Lonchura striata: one gene and its partner. The protein of the gene in region 2 purifies or fractionates together with the protein of the main gene of each other region. This does not show direct contact. Links are inferred from orthologs where the notes say so. Each region holds a gene or a part of one and is shown on either strand. Other genes may lie near its edges.

Region 1 (7,588 bases), on a different chromosome or scaffold from region 2:
CACTTAGGTCACAGAAGATGCTTAAACTTGATGTTTCAGCTGTATCCTGGCACTCGGGACTGACCCATCCCTGCACTGTTACATTAAAAACAAAACACAACCAGCCCAGCAGCAGCCAGGAGACAGCACAGGGCAGAGCAGATGGAAATGGAAGATGGGCACCAGCATTTTCCAGTGCAGTGCTGCACATTTGCCTCAGCACAGATCACTCCTCCATGACTGGCAGCAGCCAGGCTCCTGCTCCCAGAGCTGCACTGCACCAGCCGTGTCTTCCTGGAAGAGCTCCAGACTTTATATAGCAGAACTGGGACCTCGAGCCAGCACAACTCTCACTGCCTGCAAAGTTTAAGGATTCTTTTACAGTACCTGAGGATCAGACTTCAGTTTTCCTTTTTAATTACTCAATGAGGTAGCTTAAGGTTATCAATCAAGTCTACTATTAGTAGGTGTACCCCAGGAAATCAAATAATTACTTCAAGTCTGCAGATTTTATATAGGAACCTGTAAAAAAAAAATCATCCAGTCTTCTACAGCAAACTAGCACTTTTAGTTTGTTCCAAGCAGAGCAGACCACAGCCAGCACAGAAACTAGCACCACCCTGCTGAAGCCCTGCTCTGCTCAGATTTCCTCTTTGAGTCTTCAGTCATCACCTCAGTCAGACAAAAAGGCCCAGGTGCTAATATTAAAAACTAAAATAGTGTTTTCTAACAGGCCATTTATGCCAACCTTATGAGTGCTCTCTCATCAGGTCCTACTGTTTTGAACAGAATTACCAAGATGTACTCAAAAGCAACATCACCTTTGCTTTATTTTCCTTTCAGTAAAAAGTATTGCTCTGTATGTTTCCCTTACAATTTGCAGGGTGAAAAACAAAGCTCTGAAACAAATAATTTGCATAAAGATTCTGTCTAAAATTCAGATGTTCAAACTCCATCAGTTGTGTTGAACTCTACTGATGATGCTGTTGTGCCAGCACCAGAGTGAGCAGCAGAGCAGTGGTCCTGCCATCACAGCACAAACAAATCCTCTGGTCTGCTTTTGTTTTTTCTCAGACTCCAAATGCAAAGATTCCCAACAGAATCTCCTGATGGGCTCGGCACACATAGACTAAGTCCTGTCCACCAGGTTTCCTACTTTAATTTTAATTATGCTTCCCTGCCTTCAACTTAAGGAGTTCACACTTAACACAACCTAGCAAGAAAAAAAGGTAAATTCACACCAGTCAGGAACTGGGGCCATTCTTTACCTCCTGATGTATACAAGCTTAAGGTTTTTTAAAATATTTAAGATTTATAGAATTATGATATACTTTTGCAAAGGTACCAGGACTGATTTTTTTTTTTTTTTTTCCTAACAGACTTTGTACAATTACACTTTCTTCAGGTTTTAGTAGCGCTTTTCAGGCAAACCAGTCCCTGCAACATGTGATGCTGTCAAAAAAGGTCGTGAGATCTCCATCATGAAGATAAGGATGTAAGACTTCAAGCACGTGAATACTTCCAGCCAACCTTCAAATTAGCTACATATACTATGCAAAAAAAAAAAAAAAAAAAATAGATTCACAACTTTTTACATCATTATATATGGTGACTGAAACATCCCAGGAAAGGTGAGTTCAGTTCACAGGATGAGAAGATGCTAGCATCAGCACCATGGAAGTATCACAGAGCTATCTAGAAAAATGGTTTGGCTTATTCCTTACCAGACAGAGAAGAAAAAAAGTGAAAATCTGGTCAAAGGGAAAAATATCAGGAAAGGTCTGAAATGCAGTTTTTGTCTGTCAACTTCTGCATTTCCCTTTATGACATCAATATAATAAGCTTTGTTACCTAAAAAAAAAAAAAAAAATCCAACACACCCCTCCCCACGTTTGATTTATGGCATCTGGAAGCATCAGCTTCCGAAGCTTGATAGCAGTGTCCAGATTTCCTAAATCTGTCACTCCTGGCTGTGAGAGCAGGGGCTTGCCAAAAATAGCACACACTGGAAACATGGCGGCTTGCTGCAAAAGCTGCTTTCCCTCCGACGGTGGAACAAAAAAATCCTTTTTTTGGTAAAGACTACTTATTACGTTCATGCAAGCCTTAACATAGAAGGTCACCAGGTAAGCCCGCTGAGAATTAGGAACGCGGTAGAACATCCAGATCAACACCAGGCGCTACTGGAAGATGTAGCGAAACCTTTTCTCTGGGGTTTCTCCAGCACGTACATCTGGGGCCTTACAGGATGCTGGAAAGTCTCATCACAAGCAGTACTTCGCATTTAAAGCTTGGCTTAATCTCGGATTCAGCCAAGGTCATGCGGTAAACCAGGTTAAGATCCATGCTCTCCTGCTCCTGAATTTTAACTTCCTTTACCTATAAAGTTATACCCAGGGAGGCACCTGGAGGTGTTACCCAGGTCCGGGCCGTGCGAGCAGCCAGCGCTGCCCCTCAATCCGCAGCCAGCGTTCCCCGCTAACCGGGCACACCTCGGGCTTCGGGTGGGCTCCTCCCCGGCCCCACCTGCCCAAAACTAAACCCAAAACCTGCGAGCGAAGGAGCATCCGAGCCTGGAAACCCGAGAACAAAGCTGGCCCCGCACACCTCGCCGCGCACAATGCGGGCCCGCCGGCGGCCGATCCCCCGCCGCCCCCCTGCCCCGCCGCCGCACCGGGAGCTGGGGCGGAGGCTGCGGAGCGCACGGGGGCCGCGGCACGGCGCCGGCGGCCGCCACAAAGCGCGGCGGGAGCGGGCGGGATGGAGGGGGAGGAGGCGCCAGCAGCGCCGTCCCGCACGGCCCGCGGCCTGCGGAGCGCCGGGGGCGCCTCGGAGCGGGGCGCTGCGTGCGGCCCGCGGGCCCCGCGCCAAGGCGCTGCCGCGCCGGTGCCTCCCCGCGCCGCCACCCCCTCACCTGCGGCAGAGCGGGACGGGAGCGGAGGCGCCGCTTCACCAAAGAGCCCGGCGGACGAGAAGCGCCTCACGCAGCGGCGTGCTCGGCCCCCCGCTACATATATCCGGCGCGCAGCCTACCCCAGCGGGCGCGGCCCAGCCAATCAGACAGCGCCGCTCGCCCTCATTCGGATGCCGGTTGGCTCGCGGCCGTGAGGAGGCGGGCGGAGCGCTGAGGGGCAGCACAGCCAGCCAACCATGCCGCAGCGCTCCGTGGGGCCGTGAGAGTGATTGACAGGCGGGCGAACCAATGAGCGGTGGGCAACTGCTGATAGACTTGCGCTTTGGCCAATGGGACGACGCGCGGCGGGCGCCGCAGTGTGGTTGAGCCGCACTGCAGCGCCCTTGAGAAGGTGCTGGTAAACCCCGTTATAGATGGGGCGGGACCCGCGGGGGGCGGTGGCCAATGGGAGAGCGCGGCGGGCGCTGACGGACAGGTCCCAGCCGCGGTTCTTAAAGGGGCAGGCGGGCGCCAGGCGGGGCGGCGTCCCGCGCTCCGCAGCGCGCCCTGCTGGAGCGAGGCGGGCGCCGGCATGGCGGCGGGCGCCGTGCGGGGTGAGGGCGCAGGCAGCGCTCCCAGCAGTGAACAGGCAGCGGCCGCCCGCTTCGCTGTGTCTGCACAGGCTGCGTGGGGCTCGCCTGTCCCACGCACTGAGAGAAACCCCCAGTTTCTCGGGAGCCGAGGCACCACCACACCCAGAGCCGGGGTGGTCAGTGGTGGTCACTGACCCTGCCCATCACGGCAGGCTCGTCCAGCTGCTGCTTCTCCCTCACAGCTTCTGAGCAAAGCACGCTCAGCATGATCTGCCCCAGAGGAAAGATAATGCATGCGGGAGCGTTTTCTAACACGCCTACAAAGGAGGAAGGCCTGGAAGTTCTCAGATCGTTCTGCTCACCAGCAGCTGCTGGTCCAGGCACCCCGGCGAGCAGGAGGGAATGGGAGCAGGCAGCGAGCCAGAGCAAAGCAGCTTCCAGGCAGCCACAGCTCTCCATTTGACTGTGCCACATCCCACCCCACACGTATCTACGACATGAAGCACTCAGAGACAGATTTCACCCTACAAAAATGACTTCCTGCCCACCGCCGCATCCCTGAGCGCTGCCTGAACCCCTCCCTGCCGTGCCTCGCAGCAAGGGACAGGGCACGGGCGTGGGGACACGCTCCGCAGTAATGTCCTCCCCCAGTACCTCCTCGCTATCTTTAGACTAAGCCACGCTGCAATCCGCCAGTTCATAAATCAGCGCTGCAGACTTTTACAAAGTTTAACGTGAGCCCAGCACAACAACCCGCCCCGAATAAACTCTGCCAAGGGGATCTTGGACATCCCTCTGCAGAGCAATAGCGGGGCAGGGAATTCCTCTTTTATAAAACCATCGGTACAGCAGCAGTATCCTGTGCACCTCAAAAGAAATGCCCTGACCCCCAGCTGGTGAGGCAGAAAACAAGAAACAGCAGGTTACATTCCCTGCTACAGGCTGGGCTTCTCAACGGGAAGATGCTGAAACCCAGCACGTGTTCGGGAAGTGTCACACGCACCACAGCTCTGCCAGCTCTTCTCAGCCCTGATGTGATGCTCTGTCCCCTCTCCAGCTTCCTTGTGAAAGCTCCTCAGCTGCTCCCGGGTACTCCACCTTGCCTCGAGTTTTTTTTTAGAAAGGGGCTTAATTTTCCTTTAAAGGACCATAGAGCCAGGGAAGAAAAAAAAAAAATTAATAAATAAATAAAAAGAAAGCAGACACATCTTCAGGGACCAGAATCCTTTTCCGCCGTCAATATCCATTCTACCCGAGCTCTCCCAAGCCAATGAATCTCAAAATCTCAAAAGACGAACAAGCTTTCTTCAGCAGCCCGGCCCCATCCTCACGGCTCTCCCCACCTCCCTCCCGCAGCCATTTCTCCGTGCCGATCCCTAGCCTGGAAGCGAGCAGAGCTCCCGTTTCGGAGCTCCACACGGACCAGCTCCCCCCCACTCCTTCCCTCGCCCTCGGCGGCATCCCCGCCTCCCGAGGCACGGCCCGCCCCTTCCTCCGCGCCGCGCCCGCCGCCGCGCCCGCGGATCCGGGACCGCGGAGCCGGGATCGGGGATCGGGGAGCCGGGATCCGGGATCGGGGAGCCGGGATCCGGGATCGGGGATCGGGGCTCCGCCATGCCGGTGGGTGCGGGGCCCGAGCGCTCTGCGGGGCCGGGGACGCGGCGGGGCGGCGGGGCAGGAGGGCTCTGCCCGCTACCGGGGGCGGCGCGGGGCTCCCGCGACCCTCGGAGCTCCCGCAGTCCCCGAGGTTCCCCAAACCCCGGGGCTCTTTCAGCGCCCCGCGCTCCCCAATCCCCCGAGGCTCTCCCAGCCCCTCGGGGCTCCCCCAAACCCCCCGACTGTCCCTGTCCTCGAGGCTCCCCCAAACCTCCAGAGTTCCTCCTGTGCTCGCTGCTCCCCTGGTTCCCCAGGGCTCCCCCAGCCCTCCAAAGCTCCCCCAGTCCCCCAAGGTCCGCCAGATCCTGCAGGTCCCCCAAACTCTAAAGCTCCCCCAGATCCTGCAGCTCCCCCAGACTCTTAAGGCTCCCCCAGATCCTGCAGGTCCCCCAAACTCTAAGAATGCCCCAACCCCCCAAGGTCCCCCAAATCCTGCAGCTCCTCTGAACACCAAGGCTCCCCCAGATGCTGCAGGTCCCCCAAACTCTTAAGAATCCCCCAGCCCCCCAAATACTGCAGCTCCTCCAAACCCCAAGGCTCCCCCAGATCCTGCAGGTCCCCCAAATTCCGAGGCTCCCCCAGTCCTGAACTCGCCCAAACCCCAGGCCGCCACCAACTCCCAGGGCTCAGACACAGAAGGGAAGCATTGATGGGACCCTCCTTCCCCGCTGCTCACACATTTCCCCAAAGCACTCAGGGCCTTTGGGAAATAAAACCAAAGAAAATGGTAATTACACTGAAAAAAACCTAATGGCAATCTCTATCCCAAGCTCCTTCCTGGGTGAATGATCCCAAGAGGGTTTTGGCTTTGTAGTGGCAGGGGGCACAGGATGGTTCTGAATAGAAGGAAGTATGGGTTGCAAATAACAAATGCACAATAGTTTTACTTTTCTTTTTAAAGGAAAGTAAAAAGCATGTGCGAGAGAAGGAAATTAGGACCTATCTGGTGCCAAAGGTTGAAGGTGGTGGTTAGTTACAGACAAACAACGTTTTGTTGACCCAGTGTTGCTCTCACAAGTAGTAAAGATATTGCTGGGGCCCGAGTGGAGGGATGAAAAAACAGCACTAATGGCCCTTAAATTTCTGGTTTGCTTTTATTTTTGTTATGTTGGGGACCAGAAGCCCTGTAGATGGAAGAAGAAAAAGATGGGGAAGCACTGAAAACCTCACAGACTTAAGTCAGAACAGCGAGTAGCTGGAAGCAGGAGATTTGCTTCTCCTTGGGTCCCCTGGACAGGATGAGTAAGTCCAGCACAGGCCATGGAGATGGCCGTTTGTACTGACTGTGGAAGTGGCCACACAATCTCCAAAGGCCCATCAGGATTATGCTGTGGGGGACAGCACAAGGACACCACAGGGGGCAGTACCAAGAGTTCTCAGTTTTGCTGAGGACCTCTTAGTGGTGTGCATATGGACCTTTAGACTTGAGAGACTTTGAACCTCTCCAAGGGAAAAAGGAAAGTGTGGAGTGTTCATGGTGCATTTCCAGCTGTGCTCCCCTGGACCCCTCACCTGCCTCTTTTCTTTCCAGAAACACGAGTTCTTCGTGGACATGACCTGTGAGGGCTGTTCCAATGCGGTCACCCGTGTCCTGCACAGGCTGGGAGGTGAGTCAGTGCTGGGTGTGCCACAGCCGGCTCCGGGGCAGTGCCCTGGGGTCCTCCATCCTGAAGGATAATGCTGTGGGTTAAAGTTGAAAGTTGGAGACTTGTCCTTGCTCTGCTCTGAGGCTGCTCCTTAGCTGGTAACAAGTGGCTGGTGGTTTGCAGGTCTGTGACTCTTGGAGAAGTGTCAAGGGAGGGAGGAGCTGCCGCAGGTGCAGGTGGTTCTGAGTCACCAGGGCCTCACCCTGAACCCTCTGGGAAGGACACTGGCAGTCCCCTGCCCAGGCTGCCAGAGGGAAGGGAGGTGAATGTCCTGCCTGGCCTTGTTTCCAGGGAGGCCTGGGGTGTCTGTGGTGCTTCCCCAGATGTGTCATCAGCAGTCACAGGGAAGAGCTGCTGAGCAGAGCGTTTGGTGGTTGTCTGTGTAGCCTATTTTTAATACCACCTGGAAAATTATAAAAATTACAACCCATTTCTTCTGTTTGCTGGCATTCCCAAGAAAGAAGGATCTGGCCTGCACTTGTTAGTTGTGAGAACCTGCTCCCTCTTAGGGAGAACAACTTCCAGCCACCAAGGCAGAGGCCTTGCAACTTCTTCCAGACCTCATTACCAGGCTGTGACAATTCCATTTTCTCTGTGTGTGGTTGTCAGTATCTCCATCACTCTTCAACAGGCTGGCCAGTATCAGCCTCCTGTGATGATGAGGCATAGCTCCCAAAGTTGATGTATACCTACGGGTTTTGTGAAAATACATAACTGGATAGAGACTGCATGTCCAGTTCTTCTCACTGGGATGAGTGTCTCACCTTCGTTAGGCACTGGGAAATCCACATGGTAAAATGCCTTTTCCCTCCTTTTACTTC
Region 2 (7,515 bases):
GCAGGGCCTGGCACGCACGCGGATTTGCCCTCCGCGTCCAGCTTGGTGGGCACCAGGCCCTTGCGGAGCAGGAGCGACGTGACCCGCCCGGCATCGTTGTAGTCCACGGCCTGCAGCAGCTTCTCGTCGTTCTTGGTCCAGTCCTGGCTCTGCAACAGGGCCCAGAGGAGGCTGTGACAGTGTCAGCTGTGACAGTGCTGTCCCCAGGGCTGGGCTGGGCTGGCTCTCCTTGTCCCCAGCCCTGTTGTGCCCCTTCCAGCCCTGTCCCTGGGGGTGGCCGTGTCTGTCCCCCTCTCCTCCGAGCTCACTCCCAGGTACGGAGAGTTCAGCAGGGATTGGGATGAAAATCCCCTCCAGTCCCCCAGTTTGCAGCTCACAGAGTGGGGGATTTACAGACACAGCCCAGTTTAGCTGTGCCAGGCTGGGATTTGGGACTGAGCCCAACTGTACAGGGGTTTGCCCCTGCCACCCTGAAATCCCAGTACTAAACCCAGTCAGAACCCATGGGAGTCCCATTCCCAGCCCTGCTTTGCTCCCGGAGGAGGAAGGGATCAAACCAGGGCGAGCACAGCTGGCAGCGAGAGCAGATCCCCAGGGATGCCCCAGCCTCCCGGGATAACGGGGCACAGCGCTGTGCCCCCCAAAACAGGACCGCAGCTGGCTGGGATTTGCTCTCCCGGTGCTCCCTGTCCCGAAGGAGGACCCGCAGTGGGACAGGACCAGGACAGGGACTGCAAGTCCCGGGTTCACCCCACAGCCCGTGACGACAAAGCGGCGCTGGCTGCGCTCGCGGTGGCAGGAAATGGATGTCACCTTTCGGGAGCCGCTGGCACCTGTCCCAAACCCGCCTGTGCCCGCCGGGTGCCCCCGAGCCCCTCCAGCCCGGTGGGACCAGGCACAGGGAGCAAACCAGTCTCCCAGGGCTCCTGGCAAACTGGGAGGGTGGTGCCCGCTCCCCCCACTCCCTGGCCAGGCAAGGACAAAGCAGGATGGGGAGGACACGGGGAGCCCCGGGATGGGGATGGGGATGTGGGGTGCAGGTGGGGCGGGGGGGACACGGCTCAGCCCGCGGGACGCGAGCAGAGGGGAGCCGGGAGGGGAGCGGGACGTACCGCGAAGGAGGCGGCGGCACAAAGGCAGATCTGCTTCATGGTGCTGAGCAGGAGGCGGCGGGAGGACGCCATGCGCCCCCCGCTCCCCGCCCCGGCCGGCACGGGCACCCCCGAGCCCGGAGCGCTCCGGCATCGCCGCCCGGGCGGGGGCCGGGGCTGCGGCAGTGGGAGCCGGACCCGCCTCCTCCGCCCCCGGCCCTCCCTCCTTCCCTCCCTCCTCAGCGCATCCCTGCATCCCTGCATCCCTGCATCCCGCCTCGGAGCGGCTCCCAGGCAGGGCTGAGCATCCTGAGCATCCTCCCGGCCCCCGATGGGGGGACCTGGGACCCCCCAAACACCTCCAGGGAGGAACCCCGAAACGCAGAGGGTCCCCAGACGCTGTCCGGGCAGTCCCGCTGGCAGCAGGACATCGGGAGCCTTTCAGGGACGTGTCCAGGGCAGTGTGGGGAAACTGAGGCATGGAGCGCCCCGAGCAGGATGGTCCCACAGACTCCGGGTGAGGGGCTTCAAGCTGTGTCCCCATGTCCCCTGCTGTGTCCCTCCCAGTGCACTGGGGACAGCGCTGTCCCCCTCTGCCCTCTGCGGCCCCATGCCAGGCTGCTGCTGAATAATTGAGGAGCATCGACAGGCTGGTTCCACGGGCTGTGGCAGCTGGCAAAGTGGCACTTGTCCCCAGGAGGGGGACAGGGAGGGGACCTGGGATCTGCTTCCCTCTCCTTTGCTCTGCCCCACTCCCAGCGATGGCTCTGGGAGCACAGGGGGTGCACTGGGGGCTTGATCCCACCAGCCAGAGTGGCAGTGCCAACTTCTGTAGGACTGCTGTCCCCGTTGTGAGCGACCACTCCGTGTCCCAGGGCAGGTCCCCGTGTCCCCACAAACACCCTGGAGCAGGTCACCGTGTCCCCACAGACACCCTGGAGCAGATCCCCGTGTCCCCACAGACACCCTGCAGCAGGTCACCGTGTCCCCATGTCCCCAGGGATGGCACTCACATCTGCCTTCTTGAACTTGGCCTTCAGGCTCTTCATGGTGGCTCAGCCTCAGCCCCGTGGCAGCTGCTCGGGAGGGATGGCCACGCTCCAGGAGGGTCTGTCCCTGCCTGGGGACAGCTCAGCGCCCCCGGTCCCGCTGCTCCCAGCCCGTCCTGGCGTTCCCAGCGCAGCGCCCGCAGCCGGGAACCGGAGCCGGGGATTGTATTACGGCCGCGGCTGCGGTTACAGCCCCGGGCAGGCGGGGGGGGGCCGGGCCGGGCCGTGTTTGGGGACAAGGGACACGGCCTGGGGTGCTGGGGAGGGCTGGGCTCTGATGGTTGGCACCCCTTGCCCATCCCAAACACCCCCCGCCCTTGGTGGCACCTCTTGTCCTGACCTGACATCCCCTTCCCCACCCTGGCAGCCCCTGGTTCTGACAGCACCTCGTGTTCTTGTCAGCATCCCCTGCTCCTCCCTGGCACCCCTGTCCTTCCCTGGCACCCCTGCTCCTCCCTGGCACCCCTGCTCCTCCCTGGCACCCCTGTCCTTCCCTGGCACCCCTGCTCCTCCCTGGCACCCCTGTCCTTCCCTGGCACCCCTGTCCCTCCCTGGCACCCCTGTCCTTCCCTGGCACCCCTGTCCTTCCCTGGCACCCCTGCTCCTCCCTGGCACCCCTGTCCCTCCCTGGCACCCCTGTCCTTCCCTGGCACCCCTGTCCTTCCCTGGCACCCCTGCTCCTCCCTGGCACCCCTGCTCCTCCCTGGCACCCCTGTCCTTCCCTGGCACCCCTGTCCTTCCCTGGCACCCCTGCTCCTCCCTGGCACCCCTGCTCCTCCCTGGCACCCCTGTCCTTCCCTGGCACCCCTGCTCCTCCCTGGCACCCCTGTCCTTCCCTGGCACCCCTGTCCCTCCCTGGCACCCCTGTCCTTCCCTGGCACCCCTGTCCTTCCCTGGCACCCCTGCTCCTCCCTGGCACCCCTGTCCTTCCCTGGCACCCCTGTCCTTCCCTGGCACCCCTGCTCCTCCCTGGCACCCCTGTCCCTCCCTGGCACCCCTGTCCTTCCCTGGCACCCCTGCTCCTCCCTGGCACCCCTGCTCCTCCCTGGCACCCCTGTCCCTCCCTGGCACCCCTGTCCTTCCCTGGCACCCCTGCTCCTCCCTGGCACCCCTGTCCTTCCCTGCCATCCCGGCCTTTGTCAGCACGCCCTGTCCTTCCCTGGTAGCCACTGCTCTGCCCTGGCACTCCTGCCCTTGCCAGCACCCCCTGTCCCTCCTTCCTTCCTTCCTTGGCATCCCCTGCTCTTGGTGGCACCTCTTGTCCATCCCTGGCACCCCTGCCCATCCTGTGTCCCCCCGGGCAGGGGTTCAGTGCAGGTGGGGCAGTGTCCGGCAATGTCGGGGCAGTGCCAGGGCAGTCCCGGGCAGTCCCGGGGCAGTGTTGGGTCAGTCCCGGTTCAGTCCCGGTCACTCCGGTCAGTCCCGGTTCAGTCCCGGTCACTCCCGCTCAGTCCCGGGTGGTCCCGGGTCAGTCCCGGTTTAGTCCCGGTCACTCCTGGTTCAGTTCCGGGCAGTCCCGGGTCAGTCCCGGGTCAATGTCGGGGCAGTGTCCCGCAGTCCCGGTCACTCCCGGTCAAGTCCCGGGCGGTCCCGGTTCAGTCCCATGTTACTCCGGGTCAGTCCCGGTCACTCCCGGGCGGTCCCGGGTCACTCCCGGTCAGTCCCGGTCGGTCCCGGCCGCGCTGAGGGCAGTCCCGGGTCGGTCCCGGGCGGTCCCGGGTCAGTCCCGGTCACTCCCGGTCGGTCCCGGGTCAGTCCCGGTCAGTCCCGGGTCAGTCCCGGTCACTCCCGGTCGGTCCCGGGTCAGTCCCGGTCAGTCCCGGGTCACTCCCGGTCACTCCCGGTCGGTCCCGGGTCGGTCCCGGGCGGTCCCGGGTCAGTCCCGGTCACTCCCGGTCGGTCCCGGGTCAGTCCCGGTCAGTCCCGGGTCACTCCCGGTCACTCCCGGTCGGTCCCGGGTCAGTCCCGGTCAGTCCCGGGTCACTCCCGGTCACTGCCGGTCGGTCCCGGGCGGTCCCGGCCGCGCTGAGGGCAGTCCCGGGTCAGTCCCGGTCAGTCCCGGGTCACTCCCGGTCACTCCCGGTCGGTCCCGGGTCAGTCCCGGTCAGTCCCGGGTCAGTCCCGGTCGGTCCCGGGCAGTCCCGGTCGGCCCCGGCCGCGCTGAGGGCAGCCCCGCCCTGCCCGGCTCCAAGATGGCGGCGGCGGCGCGGGGCGGCCCCGCCCTGCCCGGCTCCAAGATGGCGGCGGCGGCGCAGGGCGGTCCCGCGGCCCCGCCCTGCCCGGCTCCAAGATGGCGGCGGCGGCGCGGGGCGGTCCCGCGGCCCGGCCCCTCCCGGCTCTTCCGCCGCGCGGCGGCCGCGCCGATGGCGGTGAGCTACGCGGCCGGGCTGTCCCCGTACTCGGACAAGGGCAAGTGCGGCCTCCCCGAGGTGAGCGCGGCACCGCCGGGGCCGTCCCCGCCCGCCCGGGGCAGCCCCCGCCCGCCCGCCGGGCCTCCCGCGGGCCCGCCGCGTCCCCATGGCAACCGCGGCCTCGGGAACCCAGCGGGCACCGAGCCCGCCGTGTGTCCCGAGCGCATCCCGCGGCTCCCTCCCCGTCCCCCTTCCCTGGGTGCCTGTCCCCGACACCCCATGGCTCCCTGGTCCCCCTCATGTCCCCCCAGGCCGCCCCCGGCTCCCTCGGCCCCTCTCTGTGTCCCCTTCCATGTCCCTTCTCCATGTCCCCTTCCATGTCCCTTCTCCATGTCCCCTCTCCATGTCCCCTTCCATGTCCCCTTCCATGTGTCTTCTCCATATCCCCTCTCCATGTCTCCTCTCCGTGTCCCCTTCCATATCCCCTCTCCTTGTCCCCTTCCATGTCCCCTTCCATTTCCCCTCTCCATGTCCCCTCTCCATGTCCCTTCTCCATTTCCCCTCTCCATGTCCCCTTCCATGTCCCCTCTCCATGTCCCCTTCCATGGCCTCCCTGACCCCACCCTGGTCCTTCCTTCTGCCCCCACAGCCCCCTTGGCTCCCTCCGTGTCCCCCCTGAGCCCCAGCAGTTTGGGAAGCCTAAAACGAGGTTTGAGGGGAGCCACAGGGACACTGCAGCCCGTCCTGAGCCCAGGGGATGGTGAGGGGACAGGGACACACAGGGTCCTGTCCTCGTCCCCGTCCCCAGAGATGGGGCTGGAGAAGTGTCTCAGGAATTAAATCCCGTGCCCAAACCAGCATCTGGTGTCCCTCGCTGTCCCTCGGCCCTGCCCTGTCCCCAGAGCTGGTGGCACTGCTGGTGACAGTGGGGCACATGTGGGGTGGCCCCGGGTGGCTCCTGGAGCCCAGCCTGGGCCAGCTGCCAGCCAGAGCAGCAAACTCCCTGTTGGTGCTGGGAGTTCCCAGCCCTGTCCCTGCAGCGAGATGCTCCAGGCAGCGTGGAGTCTCTCCTATTAAATGTTTCTGTCCTTAAGGAATGCAAAATCATTCATGGATAAGGAAGAATTGTGGGTTACTGGGCTTCTAGAATCATGGAATCCCAGAATGGTTTGGGTTGAAGAGACCTGAAGGATCATCCAGTGCCACCCCTGCCATGGCAGGGACACCTTCCACTATTCCAGGTTGCTCCAAGCCCTGTCCAGGCTGGCCTTGGACATCCCAGGGATCCAGGAGCACCCACAGCTGCTCTGGGAAATCCATTCCAGCGCTTCCCCACCCTCACAGGGAAGGATTCCTTCCCCATATAATCCATGCCCACATCTCTCCATCCCATGCTGGTTTTTGTGTTTTCCCAGATTTTTGACCCTCCGGAGGAGCTGGAGCGGAAGGTGCAGGAGCTGGCAGAGCTGATCCGGAGCTCCTCCCATGTGGTGTTCCACACAGGAGCAGGGATCAGCACGGCCTCGGGCATCCCTGACTTCAGGTAAGTCCGAGGGCTGGCAGGGTGGCACCTCCTCCAGGTCCATCTTCCTTCATGGAAAGCTCTGATTTATCCCAGACCCGCCCCATTCCTGCTGTCCGTCCTGGATCCAGCTGCAAACACCATTTTCCCTCTTGCACATCTCAGCTGTTGCCACAGAATCCCCACATTGTTTGCATCAACCCCCAGAATCCTGCTGATCCATGAGCTCTGCTCCCATGGATGGGGCACCTGGAGCCTGAGCTCTCCCTTCCTGCTCTTTCCAGGGGTCCCAATGGTGTCTGGACTATGGAAGAAAAAGGGCTCTCCCCAAAATTCGACACCACCTTCGAGAATGCCAGGCCCTCCAAGACTCACATGGCGCTGCTGGGGCTGCAGAGAGTGGGAATCCTGAAATTCCTGGTCAGCCAGAACGTGGACGGCCTGCACGTGCGGTCAGGATTCCCACGGTACCTTCCCAGCCCCACACGGGGGGTTTCATTCCCAAGGAATCTCTGCCCTCTCTGATACAGGGAGTGGAAGCTGGAAAGGGATAAACCAGCTGGAATTTAGAGGGGAGAGGTTCTGGTGCTGTTCCAGAGGGTCTTGGAATCAAATCAGCCTTGGATGTTGCTGTCTAGAAATGTTTCCAGGTGCTGTTTGTGCATAGAAAAAACAGAGATTATGGAATTATGGAATCCCAGAATGGTTTGGGTTGGGGGGCACCTTAAAGCCCATCTCATTCCCCTGTGCAGGTGTCTGTGCAGGGCCAGGGGTTGAACTCAGTGATCCTTGTGGATCCCTTCCAGCTCAGGATATTCTGTGATCCCTGGGAGCAGTCAGGGCCAGGCTGGATGGGGTTTGGAGCAGCCTGGGACAGTGGGAGGTGTCCCTGCCCGTGGCAGGGGGGTTGATCTTTTAAAGTCCTTTCCAACCCAACTCATTCTGTGATTTTATGAGTCAGGATGTGAGTGAGGAGCATCCATGTGTCCTTGGAGAAGGTGCCTCTCACAAACACCTTCAGCCAGAGCTGCCTCCAGGGCATTTCCTGTCATTACAAGCCCCAAGTCCTGGGCCCTGCTCCCAGCCCCTTGTTTGTCTGTTTAATCCAAACAACCATGGGAAAAGCAGTAGGGAATGATCACAGAATTCCATGGTGCTCCCACAGCCTGGAGCCACTGGCTCCTGTTCAGTTCAGCCCAGCTCTGCCTCCCAAGTGAAACCTGTGCTTGAGGAAGCTGAACTGGGGCCAAACTGGGGGAAATCAAGTCAGTCCTGTCTCACGCAGCCTGGAGGAAGTTCCCAGTGAGCGTGGGGCTCTGAGGAAAATAGGGAGAGCATGGCTGCGTCTTCCTCTGGCTTCTGCTCTGAGCCTGAGGGGGATTTTAGGAAAAACAGGTGTCAGAGGGCTGGAAGAGCACAGGGACAGACAGGAATGTTGGGTGCTGGAGAAACAAAGATCTGGGTGCTCCCAGGAGCAAAGATTTGAGTAGGTCAGGAGCTGC

The links. The genes of interacting proteins can lie anywhere in the genome.
Region 1: the proteins of SIRT6 (region 2) and G3BP1 purify together in Homo sapiens (affinity purification with mass spectrometry; 3 studies listed by BioGRID and IntAct, with this or other methods). This does not show direct contact. The link is inferred for Lonchura striata from reciprocal best matches to the Homo sapiens genes SIRT6 and G3BP1.

The regions. Positions count from the first base shown.
Region 1 is NC_134617.1:6,071,482-6,079,069, forward strand, and holds the start of G3BP1 (ras GTPase-activating protein-binding protein 1), read right to left. Parts: upstream 3,013-7,588; 5' UTR 2,894-3,012; intron 1-2,893. Other genes in the region: copper transport protein ATOX1, read left to right, coding at 5,080-5,085, 6,653-6,728. UniProt on the Homo sapiens protein: Protein involved in various processes, such as stress granule formation and innate immunity. Plays an essential role in stress granule formation.
Region 2 is NC_134630.1:6,748,091-6,755,605, forward strand, and holds the start of SIRT6 (NAD-dependent protein deacylase sirtuin-6), read left to right. Parts: upstream 1-4,472; 5' UTR 4,473-4,503; coding exon 4,504-4,569; intron 4,570-5,906; coding exon 5,907-6,034; intron 6,035-6,297; coding exon 6,298-6,480; intron 6,481-7,515. Other genes in the region: ANKRD24 (ankyrin repeat domain-containing protein 24), read right to left, coding at 19-149, 1,113-1,184. UniProt on the Homo sapiens protein: NAD-dependent protein deacetylase, deacylase and mono-ADP-ribosyltransferase that plays an essential role in DNA damage repair, telomere maintenance, metabolic homeostasis, inflammation, tumorigenesis and aging.